Linked DNA regions of Arabidopsis thaliana. The protein of the gene in region 1 interacts with the protein of each later gene in a pairwise test. Each region holds a gene or a part of one and is shown on either strand. Other genes may lie near its edges.

The links. The genes of interacting proteins can lie anywhere in the genome.
Region 2: the proteins of AAP8 (region 1) and UPS1 interact in a protein complementation assay, tested with the Arabidopsis thaliana proteins (one large-scale study listed by BioGRID).

The regions. Positions count from the first base shown.
Region 1 is NC_003070.9:3,261,217-3,269,720, reverse strand, and holds AAP8 (amino acid permease 8), read right to left. Parts: upstream 3,836-8,504; 5' UTR 3,749-3,835; coding exon 3,424-3,748; intron 2,743-3,423; coding exon 2,649-2,742; intron 2,535-2,648; coding exon 2,320-2,534; intron 2,222-2,319; coding exon 2,079-2,221; intron 1,841-2,078; coding exon 1,613-1,840; intron 1,421-1,612; coding exon 995-1,420; 3' UTR 898-994; downstream 1-897. Other genes in the region: AT1G10000 (Ribonuclease H-like superfamily protein), read left to right, coding at 4,933-5,844; AT1G09995 (DNA repair DEAD helicase RAD3/XP-D subfamily protein), read left to right, coding at 6,263-6,370, 6,813-6,971. UniProt on the Arabidopsis thaliana protein: Amino acid-proton symporter. Stereospecific transporter with a broad specificity for glutamate, aspartate and neutral and acidic amino acids.
Region 2 is NC_003071.7:1,091,209-1,099,489, reverse strand, and holds UPS1 (ureide permease 1), read right to left. Parts: upstream 4,789-8,281; 5' UTR 4,362-4,788; coding exon 4,134-4,361; intron 4,055-4,133; coding exon 3,916-4,054; intron 3,828-3,915; coding exon 3,674-3,827; intron 3,602-3,673; coding exon 3,478-3,601; intron 3,388-3,477; coding exon 3,013-3,387; intron 2,932-3,012; coding exon 2,779-2,931; 3' UTR 2,514-2,778; downstream 1-2,513. Other genes in the region: AT2G03610 (F-box family protein), read right to left, coding at 244-420; UPS3 (ureide permease 3), read right to left, coding at 857-1,246, 1,338-1,449, 1,531-1,684, 1,761-1,899, 1,969-2,196; AT2G03580 (F-box family protein-like protein), read right to left, coding at 5,009-5,097, 5,203-5,314, 5,757-5,938, 6,175-6,226. UniProt on the Arabidopsis thaliana protein: Proton-coupled transporter that transports a wide spectrum of oxo derivatives of heterocyclic nitrogen compounds, including allantoin, uric acid and xanthine, but not adenine.

The sequences.
Region 1 (8,504 bases):
GGTCACACTTCTTTTGCCTTTGATTTTATTATGTAAGTGTATAAATTAGATAAATCGAATTTAGAATCTCTAGATGTAAAAATACACATGAGATTGTTGCTTGGTTTACTTTTTTTCCTTTTTTGTGTTGGATGTTCAATGTCCATTGTGGGTAAGACAATTACCTTTAGTTGGTTAGAAATTAAGTTAGTTACAAACTGAGTTGGTTTTGGTGGTTGAGAAGATGGACTATTGCAAACAACAGCATTTAAACCTATTTTGACTCTTCTTATATCCAAATTTCTAGTCATGAAATATGAATGATTGGGTTCGAACTTAATTGAAATTATTCTATTGAACAATCAGCTAGAAGTGCAATGACAAATGACCAGGATTAGGGGATGCATCTCTTGGTTAGATGCGCCATATGGGTAGGTAACCGCAAGGCAATTGTTTGGTTACATGGCGGTTATGATGGTAGCCATCAAGTGACATACGACCACAAAACCTTGAAAATGACTTTGTAAGCAAATGCAGAGTAGAAACGTTAATAGAAAACCAAACTTGCCTTGATCCTCTATTGCCCAACTCCTCCAATACATAAGATGTGATAGCAACTTATGTAGGACACACCAAACCAAATAAATTACACAATCTGTGAGTGTCTGTTTTCAAGATTTCCCCGACAATTCCATTAAGCAAAATAAATAATAATAACTCGAAATTGACACAACCACACGAATTTGAAAAAAGCTGAAATCCATATCTCATGGGACTCAAACATCCAATGTTGATTCAATAATTGTAGTCCTAAAAATAAATCAATAACTAATACATTTTCATAAATTTTAGTACTAATACATAAGTTAGCATTTTGGTTTTTAACATAGCTGAAAACAGAACGTCACATTATTTGGAGAAACATTAAGTACTAAATATTTAGCATGAAATAAATTTCATATAATTCATATGGATCACAAGGTTTTTTTTTGGCAAACATAGATTATAAGTCACACTAGTCTAAATTCTTGAAGGGCTTGTATGACTTGACACTATTAATTAAGCCAATGATGGATCCTACGGCGGCAAGGGCCGAGACGATCAAGCAAACCAATACGAGGAGGTTCAAGGCCAACCATCTACGAGAATACTTCTTGACTTTAGCCTGCGCAATGTGCATTGCCACCGGAAAATAAACTGTGAGTGGCCAGAACGCGAATGCCCCTAGCAAACCCAAGATCGCATTGAAGAAGGGGAATATCATTGCTACAAATGTTGTCAAAACAACATAGCATGTCCTCCAAACCAGTCTGAAGAGGTTGACACGACATTTTCCAAGCAAAGGAACCTTTGACGAGTATTCTTTGTTGATGAAATTGCTTTGAGGCCATTTTTTGTTGCAGTTTTCCTCAACAAACTGGAAAAACGGCTGCGCATACACCTGCGAATAATACAGGGATAAAAAAAAAAAAAGAGCATTTTTTAGAAACAATATTTAGTAATAACTCCATTTCTACAATCTTCTGAATTGTTAAAGCTAAAAATTCTAACACAATAATGAGACTTTTAATGAACTTGAACACGGTAAATGTATGTTACACACTTATCCTATTCTTTTGTTTGTGAGTTATACCTGATAGGCACCTATTAGATGGAGAGCAATGCAAGCATTGGCAAAGTCGATGAGCCAATAAGGTTCGTAAAAACCAAAATCGGTAAGGAAGTCACCAGGGGCTTGGTTGCCGAACGCAGCATATCCGATGCAACCACACAAGATGTAGAAAACAGTTGTGGTTGAGACTCCGACAAGACTTGCTCGTTTCATCACTTTGTTCTCTGGTGGGCTTGATCTCAATGTGTCCTGCAAAATAAACAAGACATACTACTAGAGCGTCACTATCTTTAGAGCTTCACATATCTAAAATATGAAACTATTTTTATCCATCATCCATCCATCTATATTTTTTCCTAACTGTCTAATTAATAATAACATCTTATCTTCAAGGTATTCTTATTTTACCTCTCTTTGGCGAAATTAATAATAACAAGCAAATGAAAACAATAGTAAACGGAAGATAGTAGGAATCAGTAGTACATGCCTGAATCTCGATGAGAATAGTGGTAAAAGCGTATGAAAAGGCAATGTCTCCAATCGCTTGAAACAATTTCCAAACTTTTTCAGACGCAGTTACGTCCACACCTATCACTGTCCCTGTCAATTCTGTCTTACCAATCTTCCCACCTTTCATATATATTGTATACCATTTTCACGGTTAGTGTCAACTTTGAAGAATCATCCATATAAACCACTATGTTTTAAGATAAAGAAGGGGAATGTACTTGCTACAGTAGCGATGGCTAGGCCTATTCCGATAGACGCATAAGAGAAGGACATAACCGCGGCGATGATGGATAGGAAAGAGAGCTTGTGGAAGTTAGGAAGCTGGCTCAGAATGATCTGGACGATCCCAAATGCCGCCATGTATGGATAATTCGATACAGAACATTTCGCTTTATGTCCCTTGTCATGATAACAATTTGATTTCCCAATCGCTCTAACGAAGACGTACAAAAACACCAATCAAACAATTATTAGTAATTTTATTCAGAACAACATGTTAGTATAACCATAACAAAATAATCGAAATAAATCAGAATCTTTGACTTACACTAAGCTTATGGAGGCAGTGATGGTGTAACCAATAGTGACCCCTACGAGATTCACGTACTGTGCCACTCCACATAGCTGAACCTTTTTACCACCTGCGTTTTATGTTATTAAAGAAGAAAAATGATTACTCTTGTACTACTATCAAATACTACCAATCTTTTGGTCTTATGGCAAAGTTTCTAAACATCCCGCATAATTCCAAATTTTCAACGAGGGGTCAACAATCGAATTTATAACATTCTTTAACGGGATAAATTGAATTGACTATGTTACCAATCCTAATCAATTTAATTTATTAACTAAGTTATGAAAGAATGAAGATTATCTTCCTTTTTTTTATATAGATTTTGATAATTAATTCATATCTTCCCATGAAAGAGCATGCACACTTGGCAAAATCGTAAATCATTTTTTTCTAACAACCATATTTTTTTCTTTCATTGTTCAACAACAATAATGTTCTTCAACAAATTTACATGGTAAAAAATTGTTGAAATGAGCCAATTATACTGTAGATTTACAAATTCCAACTTAGCATTAAATATATATTTTTAGATCAGATTTTTTTTCTTTCGCCAGCCATCATCATTGTGACAGAAATGGAAGAAAATCAAAACACATGTCCTAAATTGAGACTAGTTAGGCAAAATCTAAATGATATCAAATGAACAAAATCCTTGTTCATCTGAGAAAAAATGTCTAGAAAACTGAAAAATCTGTGAAAAACAATGCTGATAAAGACACAAAATGAATTTGTTTATATGAATCCATACCAAGGTAAGATCGGACGACGCCCATGTAATTATAGTTGCGTGTTCCGGTGATGGAGTCCGGCGAACGGTAACAGTCGGCGAGCAAGGTGGACGTGTAGTAAGTAATGATGGCGAAAGCGACCAAAACTGTGGTTCCTGCCACCCAACCAAGCTGTGCTATAGCCCAAGCCAACGACAGCACCCCTGAGCCTATGACCGCCGTGATTATGTGCGCACTCGCCGTCCAAAATGTTCCCGTTCTCTTCTCTCGACCATCGTCGTCGACGCTTTTCACGGCGGCGTCACCCGACTCCACCGCCGAGGGATTGTTGTATGCGTCCATCATTGTGAGAGAACCACTGAACCAGAGGAGAGAAGAGAGGGGAAGAGAGTTATTGACAGAGGTCGTCTTATTAGAGTACTCCCTCACAATCACGTACTTACATGTATTATATACACAAATATCGATGTTTATATGGAAAGAGCATCTTTGTACGTTGAATCTTATTTATTAAGAGAATCTTCTATTACGAGGATTTATTTCTTTTGACTTTGATTTTGAATGTGTAACCACTATTGCTTATTCCGGAAACAAAAATTGGTCCGCATGTTGAAAAGAGGATTTACCTACATTAACGACACTACGAATAATCGAAATTAGGTAACTGATTAAAATTAGATGAGTAAAACAGAGAGATATTTCCTTCAGATCTTGGCCTCTTGCATAGCTATATCCTCTCTTCTATCTTGCTCATTTATCTTCTCAAATCCTCACATGCACATGATTCATTAATCGGGAAATTAAATCATTAACATTGAGTTATAATGATGTATTGATGTGAATCTATATATATATATTGTTGTATCAACTAAATATTATGATATATCTACAACATTTTGTTATTAGTATCGCATCAAATACAAAATTATGTGGATTTACATGTTTGTATTATATTTTACTACTATTTTAACGGTTTACAAAAACATGTAAACCAAACCATAAATTTCACTAATTTCAATTATGTACGATTTTGAGTCTTCATTACTTCTTATCGTTTCTTTCACTCTTATAGTCTTATCTCACAATCCGTAATTTGTGCACAATTAATGAATTCAATGTTGTATTTTGTCGTATTAAATATGGATTTTGACCAACATAAACCTGATTTTTTAGTGGATTATTTTAAAATATATCCACAAAATATTCCTTCGAATAAAATCCCATTCTAACTATATCCATAAAATGCCCATCCCAATTGTCGAGACAGAATCAGATATCTAAAATGACACATAATAAATGTCGCATATTACACCATTAAAGTACGGTACGTTGACCTCCTACCTGACTATGAACAGCTCATCAGACAGCTCCCTGTGCCCTCAAGTAGGGGTGTGGATAAATTGGTCTGGTTACCGGTAAAATCTGGAGAGTATACCTCAAGATCAGGTTACGGGGTAACATCCTTGACAGTGCTACCAACAGCTCAGGTCCGCTTTAACTGGCAAGCAAACCTTTGGAAACTCCACACTATGCCGAAGATCAAACTTTTCCTATGGAAGGCGGCTGCAGGAGCTCTCCCTGTGGGTGCACAACTCGTAAGAAGGCATATATCATCAACTTGGGATTGTGCACGCTGTGGGGCTCCGGAGACTTCCACCCACATGCTGTTTCACTGTGATTTTGCGGCACAAGTTTGGAACCTAGCGCCCCTCCAATTGGGTCACATCCCTATCGGTACCCCTATTTTGGAAGCTCTTAACTTACTTAAGAAAACCATCGTTCTCCCCCCGGTTGGGATTCATACAGCAACCCTCTTCCCCTGGATCTGTTGGCACATCTGGAAAGCCAGAAATCAGCTTATCTTCCAAAATTCTCATTTCTCTGTGATAGAGACTGTTACAAAGGCGGTTCAGGATGCCTTAGCGTGGCAATCCGCCCAATTGGCGCTCCCAAAAGTTCGTGTAGCGACCCCCCGCCCAAACTCCACAACAACTCTGACTCATGATTTTCTCTGCTACGTGGATGCGGCTTGGCAACAACAGAGCTCCCTCGCTGGCTCTGGCTGGGTGTTCCAAGCAACCTCACACTCGGAGAAAGAAATTACCACCTTCTCAGCCGGATGCCGTCGGTTCCCCTCGCCCTTAGCGGCGGAGGCTTGGGCTATCAAATCGGCGATGCTACATGCTTTACAACTGGAAAGATCCGATCTCCTTGTGTTATCGGACTCAAAATCCATAGTTGATGCTTTGAACTCCAATGTCTCCCTCAATGAGATATTTGGCCTTCTAGTGGAAATTCGATCTATTCGAAACAGATTCCGCTCTATCTCCTTTCAATTTATCCCTCGCTTAGTTAATTCGATTGCTGATGCTGCGGCTAAGCTCTCCCTTTGTATTTCTGGTAATATCGGGCTTGACCCGGGTACTCTTGTTTTTGTTTGATTTGGAATGGAAAGTATTGGGTTTGACTAAAAAAAAAAAAAAAAAAAAAAAGTACGGTACGTTGACAATCCGTTGGTGAAAACTTAGAGCAAGTCAAGTAAGGGTTTTTAGTAGATTTCTTAGATGGGTTTTTATGTAAAAATGGGCCCAGATAATAGAAAAACAGCTGAATCCATTTAGGATCGTTCCTAAAATTAGTTTTTCGCGACCCAATAGAAACTCATACGTGACCTCATTTTATTGGGTAAACTGAATGACAAAACCAAAAAAAAAAAACCACACGCGTTTATTTATTTCTTCTTCTTCTTCTTCGCCTACGGAGACACCAAAGACGATTGGAATCGACGCTGAAGATCTAGTGATTTGTTCATGAAATCATGAAAAATCATCCACCTAAACGAGTGTTTCAACCAACGGGATGATGATCGAGCTAGATTTTGTTCCCCAAATCGATTCTTCTAACCAAATCGACGAGAGGTGCTTGGACTTGCAAAAGAAGAAGATATCTCAAGTCTCTAAAAAGAAGGTACATGTTATCAACTTGTATTATGAGAAGATTTATCTATCTATGAAAGTGTGTTCCGTCTTGCATTGCTGGTAGCCTCTGAATACAAAGCTTCCAAATTAAATGAATATCTGCTTGTTTCGTCATTGTTAATGGTCATTTAGCTAAGTAGAATAAAAGAAAGATTTTTGCTAACTAATGGAAACATTTCAGAATTTAGGTGCAAATGTAAGAATAGTACGAACCAAGCTTGAAAAATAGTGTTGTTATCATAGACGAGGCTCACAATTTGGCTGACACTTTTCTCAGTATGCACGATGCAAAACTAACAGTGGCACATATATAAATTTCAGTTTCATCAGCTTTCTGAGCACATGTTGTTTGGATGGACTTTTGCATTGCTATTGGGTCCTCTGTTTCAGGCCATATGTGGAGTCATGTTTTTAAATGATTTGTATTGCAGTTGGAGGATATACACTGCAGCATAGAGAGTTATCTGGGAAGATTCCAGAATCTCTTGAGAGCTGGAAACATGAGATATATCCAAATTATGTTGATTCTCACCCGAGCTTTCCTCAAACCTCTTGCTAGTGATAGGAATCTGAAGGAAAGCAATATCTGAATTGGTTCTTAATATTTTCCCCTTTCGTGATCATGTTGAAGCTGTTCTCTTCCTGCAGTTTCTTAAAGATGAGCTTGATGCAAGCTCAGAAGTCATAGAGCCTTGTAATAGCAAGGTATGTGTCTTCTTGTACAACACAACTCGTGTGATTTATACACACAAGCTTGGCGTGCTCTTTGGAATGTATTATATCATTGGCAACCAATTTGTTTGTTTGTGACCATTTTCAATAATTTTGGACCACATTTAATTAGCCCCTAAAACTTCCTTTCATTTTCTGGTTTTATGTTGAAGCAGAAGAGCCTTTCTTTATCTTTTTATAATCGACATGAAGCTGTTTCAAGCTTTGCTTGAGTTCAAGTCTCAAGTTTCTGGAAACAACAAGAGAGAGGTCATGGCTTCATGGAATCACTCCTCCACATTTTGTAATTGGATTGGAGTCACATTTAAAATTTTATAATTCCTAATAATAATCATGTTTAATCAAATAAAAATATCAACAATTTTTTTTTTTTTCAATTTTTTTTTGTTTTAGAAACCAACTTAAAAGATTCCACCAATGGACCATAAAATTTTCAAAAACTCTAAAAAATCTCTAAACTACAAAACTATCCAAATTTATTAATAAAAAATACATAGAAACTTTGTTTAGAAACTAATCACTGGACTTGCTCTTAGTTGTCATGTGTAATGCCGAAAGGAAAGCGCTACAAGGAGTTTCAGCCCTATCCATATACGTAAATACCAATGTTTTTACAAGATTCTGTTGGCAACAAAGAAAAAAAACAAAGGGAAGAAGATGTATAAACCAAAGCTGTTTTATTTTGTCTCTTGTCCAAATGTAACTAAATTTTTGTTGGGCCATATCTCAAAAGAAGTAGAATGATATAATATTGGGCTTTCCATGGGCCTTATATAAACAAACAACCTTGTAAATCGGGTTTGGAACTCATCTCGCAAGGGCTAGCCAAGCAGTACACGTAGCGGGTCGGATCCACCATTTTACGACAGTAGTACAAACATCGATTTGGCGCAAAAGAAACCAAAAAAAAAAAGACACATAGTAATTGGTGTCGTCGCATGAACATTCATCCTTTACCCGACAAACACAATAAAAAATCTGACTTTTTTGTTTAAACTCTTTTATAAAAAAGAATAAAAAAGTTTCGTTGAATCCCTCAAAACTTTTTGGTTCCTTACAATCGTCATTTGTAACTTTCCCAGATCCTCTCCCTTTTATTGCATCTCTGTTCTTTTAGCTCAGGGTTTGTCTGTCGTGCAAAAAGCAAACCCTAAATCAAATCTGGGTTTCGTCTATCTGATTCGTCAGATCTAAAGTCTCAAGGCCCACCATCGTCTTCTTTTTTTGAACTCTCTGCTCTGCTTTGCTCTGCCTTTGGTTTTCTTTTTTTCCATTTCGAGGTAATGTATGTTGTTATGGTAAAGTTTTGTTATTTTCGCTAATCTTTGACATTTCATTTATGTAATTTTTATTTGGCTCAGATTGGGATTTTAGCTTTTGACCTAATTTTG
Region 2 (8,281 bases), on another chromosome or scaffold:
AAAGAGTGTTCCCTACAGCCCTTTCGTCTAATAGATGGAATCTTGATCGTTTTGATCGTTAACAGGTTCAAAATATAGAAATCGAGACCAGAATCTACCAGTAGGAGACAATTCCCGGAGCTAGCCATACAATATCTTCCGTTCAAGCGACGACGGAGGACTCTTGTTTTGAAACTTTCGTCTTCTTTGTGATCAAACAACGTTAAGGTATGTGACCTGCCATGGACGCAGAGACTGACTCACGCATGTTTTCCAAACGGAATACCAATCTGAACAAACGGTTTTTGCTCGATGAAAATCAATAGAGCTCAAGCTTTCCAGGATCGGTCGCAAAAGATCAGGACAAAGCTTGGACCAATCTTGATTTTCAGAAGCTCCTTGTCTCTTCTCTTCTTTCACCAAATCGTTCGGCGTCTCCATGTCTGCGCTTACGTGCCTCACACTCTAGTTGACCTAATGTTTGGATTTAGGGTTAAGAACCACGGAAACCCTAATTAATGCGAGACGTATATATTTATACTGACGATATAACATCAAAACCCATCGATTAAAATTTAACCAATGATATATTTGAACATGTTGCTCACTTTACCTTCATACAAGAGTACCGTATCTTACAAGTTTATAAACCAAAGTTGTGAAGCTTTTAGTCTGTAGATGTTTCTGTGGAATGCATTTTTAGTCATTTTCGATGTCCCGATGAGGCCATCAGAACCGCGACTGCAGCTATGAACATAAATAGCATACTGATAAGAAGTGTATATGTTTTTCTTGATGATCTTTTGTATTCTCCAAACAGCAGTATCCCCCAAAATGTTTATTTTCAATCTTTAAATCATTGAACAGAAAAGAGGTCTTAAACCTGAACAGCTCCTGCAGCAGCATAACCAGCGGCTTGACCGCCCATAAACTGAAGACCATTACCAAATCCACAGAGAAATCCAGCCAAGAAAGACCAGCCTCGACCGTTCCAGTCATTTAGGTAAGCCTTGAAAGATGATCTTGGGAGACCAAGTATAGGCCAATAGAGAAATATGATGTTTAGTATCAGACCAACCCCAAATGAAGAGATGGAGAAGTAGAAGAAGGCTGTGTACACATTGAGTTTTGGAACTCCATGTTTCAAAGTGTGCCAACTCCATGTTTCAAAGTGTGCCATTGATCGTTTGTCGCTAAGCTTACTGCAGGTGAGATTAGAGAGAAACAGATACCGGCAAAGAATGTTATCGCCAGTCCAATTATTGTGCTTTTCCCAAAAACCTGTCAACGCAAATCTTGAGTATCAGTGAATATCAGTTATTTCTGTTTAGGAAAATGCTGTGTGTATTATTATTAACCTTTATGGCTCTTTGTTTCTCAACCTCAATAAGAAAATCTGCAGTCCCTACTTTTGCTTTTCCTTCTTTTATAGAACTTGTTTCCATTTGGAAGGAAGAAGTAGTCTCTAAACTGAAACAAGATCAGATTAGGTTAAAAACCAAACCAAAAGAAAACAAAACAAAGACCTAGTATAGTGAATCTTTTTTTAACCTTTTGAATCCTTGGAGTTTGGATTTGTTATCAGCTGCATTTGATTTATGAACAGCAGAACCGAAACAAACAGCGATCAAGAAACAAGCGACCCCCGGGAAAAGGACCTCAGCTCTGTTGATTCTATCATCCAAGAAATAGTTCAAAGTTGTGCCTGTTGTTGAAAACAAAAGAGTTAATAAGAACAGAGGAAAAAAATCAGTTAAGAGTAGTTGAAGAGAAGAGTTTACCGATAACAACGGCGATACTAGCTGTGATGACTTCAGTGACAGATAACCCAACAAAAGCCCAAGCATATTGTGTTGCTAAGGTCCCAAGGCTAAGAAATATTCCTCCAGCCATTGCAAACATCACAGACGGCCAATTATCCTGTGACAAAAAAACTTTGCATTTCAAAAACCAACAACAAATATGTGTATGAATGTATGTGTAACTGACTTGAGAAAGCTGTGTGGTGAAATTTGGTCTGCTTGGACTTATTTCGCCTAGTGTAAACGCTATGATAACTGCAGCTAACAGGTTTGTCAGTGTGTAGTCAAGATAAGTATGTTGAGGAAGTCTACCGCGTCTTTCGGTTAGAGTCATGATTGCTGGCCATGTCCCTAAGAAGAGCAGAGCCAAGAGCATACAAGTGATTGTTCCTCCTTTGCTCTCTATCACATACATTTTATAAAATCACCAAATCCCACTGCATCAAAGTAAAGAAGTGAGATTCTTCTGTTATCATATCATTGATCTCTCGTGATAAAAATGAAGCTAGTTGTCTTAAGAAAGGTTCTTTAGAACATTAACACAAGACACATGCTGATACAAGAAGATCTCTATAAAACTCAAACCTTATATTCCATTAAATTTCCCTATTGACTAGGTTTCTTGAAAGAGATTACCTTATTAAAGCTTTTGTCTTAACTTTGACTTTGAGGAAGACCAGAGAACAACAGATACAGAAGAAAAAAAACTTAGTCTCTCATTTGATTGGCAGATCCAGATTCAGGAAGAAGTTAGTTTCCCATTTTCTATAAAATAAATAAATCTCAAGTTGCCATAAACTATAGTTTTCTTTCTCTGATGTGTAAACAAAGACAATACAACCAATTGTTGTTAGCAAAGCCCTAAGACAGAAACCAACAAAGAAAACACTTTGGTTAAATATAAACAAAGACTTGAACATGTTGCAGCCATTGGTGAAGTAACTCTTCCTTCAATGGATCCTTTTAGCAGTTTAACTTGAAGAAGTTTCAGTGAATTTCATTTTCTATGTCCCGAGGAAGCCATAAGAACCGCGACAGCGACTATGAACATAAGAAGCATACTGATGAGAAGTGTATATGTTTTTCTTGATGATCTTCTATATTCTCCAAACAACAATATCCCCCAAAATGTACTCACAAGTGGAAGTGCCTGAAACATATTCAAATCATAATAAGTAAAACATATTTCACTCTTAAATCATGGAACAGAGGATTTGTTTATTGTCTAAACCTGAACAGCGTCTGCAGCTGCATAGCCTGCGGCTTGACCACCCATGAACTGAAGACCATTGCCAAATCCACATAGAAATCCAGCCAAGAAAGACCAGCCTCGACCGTTCCAGTCATTCAAATAAGCCTTGAAAGAAGATCTTGGGAGACCAAGTATAGGCCAATAGAGAAATCTGATGTTAAGTATCAGAGCAACTACAAATGCAGAGATGGAGAAGTAGAAGAAGGCAGTGTACACATTTAGTTTTGGAACTCCATGTTTTAATGTGTGCCATTGATCGTTTGTTGCTAAGTTGAATGCAGGTGAGAACAGAGAAAAGCAGATACCGGCAAAGAAAGTTATCACCAATCCGATTATTGTGCTTTTGCCAAAGACCTGTCCTCAATGCCAATCATGAATCTTCAGAGAACATATATACATATCAGTTATATCTGTTAGGGTAAAGGAAGAGTAGTATGTTTCAACCTTTATAGCTCTTTGCTTCTCAAGCTCTATGAGAAAAGCTGCAGTCCCTTCTTTCGCTTTCCCTTTTGTTAACCCGTTGCTTGCAGAAATTGTTTCCATTTCGAAGGAAGAAGTAGTCTCTAAACTGAAACAAGATCAAGATTAGTACCAAACCAAACCAAACGGAAACAACAATAGATATGAATCTTTTTCAAACCTTTTGAAATTTTGGAGTTTGGTTTTGTTATCAGCAGCATTGGATTTATGAACAGCGGAACCGAAACAAACAGCGATCAAGAAACAAGCGACCCCCGGGAAAAGGACCTCAGCTCTGTTGATTCTATCATCCAAGAAATAGTTCAAAGTTGTGCCTGTACTAGAAAACAGAAATGGTCATAAGAACAGAGAAGAAACAGAGGAAAAAATCAGTTAAGAGTAGTTGAAGAAAGAAGAGTGTACCGATAACAACAGTGATACTAGCTGTGATGACTTCAGTAACTGATAAACCAACATAAGCCCAAGCATATTGTGTTGCTAAGTTTCCAAGGCTAAGAACTATTCCTCCAGCCATTGCAAACATCACTGACTGCCAATTATCCTATGATAAAAAAAAAAACCGCGGTTATACAATAGTTTTCGACAAGATGTCTAAGGAGAAGTAAGAAGATGTGACTGACTTGAGAGAGCTGTGTAAAGAAATTTGGTCTGCTCGGACCTATTTCTCCTAGTGTCAACGCTATGATCACTGCAGCTAACAGATTTGTGAGTGTGTAGTCAAGATAAGTGTGTTGAGGAAGTCGACCGCGTCTTTCGGTTAGAGTCATGATTGCTGGCCATGTCCCTAAGAAGAGAAGAGCCAAGAGCATACATGCAATTGCTCCTCCTTTGCTCTCTATCATATACATCTTTCTATCTCTCTTTTATATACTTATAAAAATCATGAAAAAAACTCTGCACCAAACAAGATTCTTTTGGTTATCTGATCTTCGACACACATTAATGATCGATCAAACTCAAATTGAGGATTGTGATCTTTAGACAACCGCAAAGGCAAGGCAAGAGTCAAAATCTATTGGGTTTCTAGAGAAGCAATGAAGAACAGAGAGAGTACTAAAAAGTAAACATCTTTGACTAATAATGAGTTTCTTGAAAGAGATTATTATTACCTTTTGGAAGCTTCTGTTCTAACTCTAACAAAGAACAAAGACAGAACAAGAGAGAACAACTTTTGATTCTTCCCTTTGGGGAGATTCAGAATAATTGCTAGTGGCTCTCATATTATTGGCAGATTCGGATTCCATGAGATATGACACCTTCCTCGATATATTTTTCAAGATAATTTTGTAGTATAAAATAAATAAAATGAATCTCGAGTTGCGTTCCGATTAGGTTCCTAGTTGATCATAAGTCAACGGCTGACACAATCTTGTCTTAAAATCATTATAAAAAAAAAAATTCAAAACAAAAAGGTGAAGTAAAAGTATGTAACAATAATCAATAATCTTGATGTAGTGGCGCAAAGTATACTGATAAAGCTTGCTGTTCTTGTAAGCTAAATCCCCAAACATCGGAGCTGATGTCCCATACTTATCATTCCAGTTCCACCAAGAATCATCTCCTTTCTTGTATGTGAACAAATAACTGTTGTGTAAAGTCCAAGCAATTAAATAATCCACTGTCCTCTCATCTATCCAAGACCAACTGATCTTGTTATTCCCAACATGTGTTTGGACACGCAATACTTACCAAAAGGATGGAGGACGAACCATCCCCACTTGCCTTGTCTATTATAGTATCTGCTTGGCTCGAATCTTATTTTTCCACCGCGAACTGACGACTCCATTGACGGAAGATTGATCTTTAATAAGATTCGAATCAAGACGAGACTTGTTAAAGTTTCAAATCCTTAAACTCTAGAAACTCTAGATCGTAATGATAGAATCGATTACGTAACTACAAAGAGAAGATAAGAATCGTTATGTTTAGATCAACATAGATATAAGCAACCGATGACCAAGAGATCAACATTGATCTCTTCCTCTGGCACATCACAAGGCCAATTCTCTCTCGAGAAATATCACAACATAAAAAGCATAAAATCCCCAGATAAGAACAGAGTCAGTATTTATAGAAGAAGAGTTTCAAGGCCTCTAACTGGAAAGAGTATTTGCCCTCATTTGTTAAGTCAACTCAGTCAACACAGTAGTTGACTTCCTCTTTTCTCTTCTCAGCTTCGCTTAGCCCAATCTTCTCAGCTTCTTTCTCTAGTAGTCGACCTTATAAACCTATCAAGAATCTACCATCAAGAGCCAGTTTCCGGAGCTAGCCATATAATAGCTATTGTCAGAGAGTCCGAGGAGTTTTGTCCCGTAAATCTTGTCTTCACCGGGATCAAACAAACTGGAAGAATCATCATCGTAGTATATGATCCGCCATGGATACAGAGGCCGTTTCACGCATGTTTTCCAAACGAAATACCAATCTGAGCAAACGAGTTTTGCTTGGTGGTAGTCAATAGAGTTCAAGCTTTCAATGATTTTTCGCAAAAGGTCAAGACAAAGCTTGGACCAGTCGTGATGATGAGATACTTTTGGTCAGTTTTCTTCTCTCATCAAATCGTTACGCGCATCCACCTTGATGATCTTTAGGTAAATAAAGATCAATATTTTCATGGTCTTTTGCAAAGATCGCGCGGGACAAATTAAAGTTTGGACCAACCGTGATTATCAAACACTTTTGGTCTTTTCTCTTCTCTCATCGACATATCCATGTCTGCGCCTACTTGCCCTATACGCTAAAGTAACTAAGGTTTTGTTTTAGGGATTAGAACGAACGCCTATTAAGTTTAACTATTTTTATACATTTACATATAAGTAAGGTTCCCTCAAACTCATACCGTAAAAAACTGACAAGTGGTGTTTGATTCATTTGACATATGTCATTCCTCTCAAATTTAAATATACTATTTTTATATTTACTCAATCTAATAATAGTTTTATACTAAACAAATCTATTGAATTATTCTAGTGAATAACTTCCCTGCATATTAGATCTTCTCGATAGCCAGATAGTTGGTGGTCGTATATCAGCTAAAGAGCTTACTTTTGTTGTTGTCTTAATATTTTTGCAATGCTCTTTTTACAATGAGAAATTCCTAAAAATAGCATTAAAACTGGTTTTATGGACAATAATAGCACACATTCCATAAACTTTCAAAAATAGCACTACTTGACTTATTATGAAGTTTTTTTCTAAAAGTATTATCACTAATTTATTTTTTGAATAATATCATAATTTTTATATAAAATCTATTCAACCAAAATAAATTAGAAATAAATTAAAATATTATATTTGGATTCTCTATTTTCAATTTAGGGTATATATTTCAACCATTTAAAAACAAATTGATTCATTTTAATATTAGTTTATGGTATTATATTTGAGTTCCCTATTTCTAATTTAGGGTATATATTTTCACCATTTAAAGGAGATTTTTCATTTTAATATTAGTTTGTGGTATTATATTTGGGTTATCTATTTCTAATTTAGGATATATATTTCTACAATTGTTTTATTCAATTTAATATTAGATTAGTGTTTGCTCTCATTTTTATTTTCAATCTTATATTTTAGTTAAGTTTAATTGAACTTTATCGTGCTATTTGTGAAATCTCAGAAATATTGTGCTAATTTTGGAAAAAAACTCTTTTTTGGTGCTATTTTTGTCAATTGTCTTTTTATAATTAACTAGATAAGGCCCGCCTAAATAGGCGGGTGAGAAAAAAAAAATGCTAATTTTAATTTATGATATATGAGCTCTAAATCGTAGTTAACACACTTTTTATATTTAATATAATATTTAAAAGAAAAAACAAATTTCAATCTTACACATTCTATTTTGCTAATTTTAACTAAAGAAAATATTTATTTTAGGATAGGTGTATCATGAATACGAACATCAGATTTCTCAAAAAATATTATATAGCCAATTACATCGGTATGACAAAACAACATTAAATTTAAATAAATCTATACTTACTTAAAATTTGAAATTTGAAATTCAGTATATGTACCTATAACTGTTGTGTCATATCTTACAATTTTGCAAAATCCTTGTTTTGTTTTGCTAATTTTAACTAAAGAAAATATTTATTTTATGATAGATGTATCATGAATACGAACATCAGATTTATCAAAAATATTTGTTTAATATATAAATTTATAAACATTAAACAACTTATTGAAATTTGAAATTTGAAATTTGAAATTCAGTATATGTATTGTCTAATTGTTGTGTCATATCTTTCCATTTTGCAAAATCCTTGTTTTGATTACACATTTGTTTATAAATTTATCTTCTTTACTTTTGAATCTTTTTTATTATTTAATTATAAGAGACATAGTTTTTTGGGAAATTCTTCAAAATAGCACTAAAACAAGTTTTATGGACAATAATAGCACACACTCCATAAACTTCCAAAAATAGCACTAATTGACTTACTCTAAAGTTTTTGTTCTAAAAATATTATCACTAATTTACTTTTTGAGAAATTCCCACAAATAGCACACTTTTAAGTTTTTTGAAAAAAATAGCATTAAAAAGTTTTTTAGACATAAATAGCACTCAAATAATTATTTGAGAAATTCTTAAAAGTAACACAAAAACAAGTTTTATGGACAATAATAATACCACAATTTTATATAAAAATATATTCAACCAAAATAAATTAGAAATAAATTTAAAATATTATATTTGGGTTCTCTATTTCTAATTTAGGGTATATATTTCCAACTATTTAAAAGAAATTTTGATTCATTTTAATAT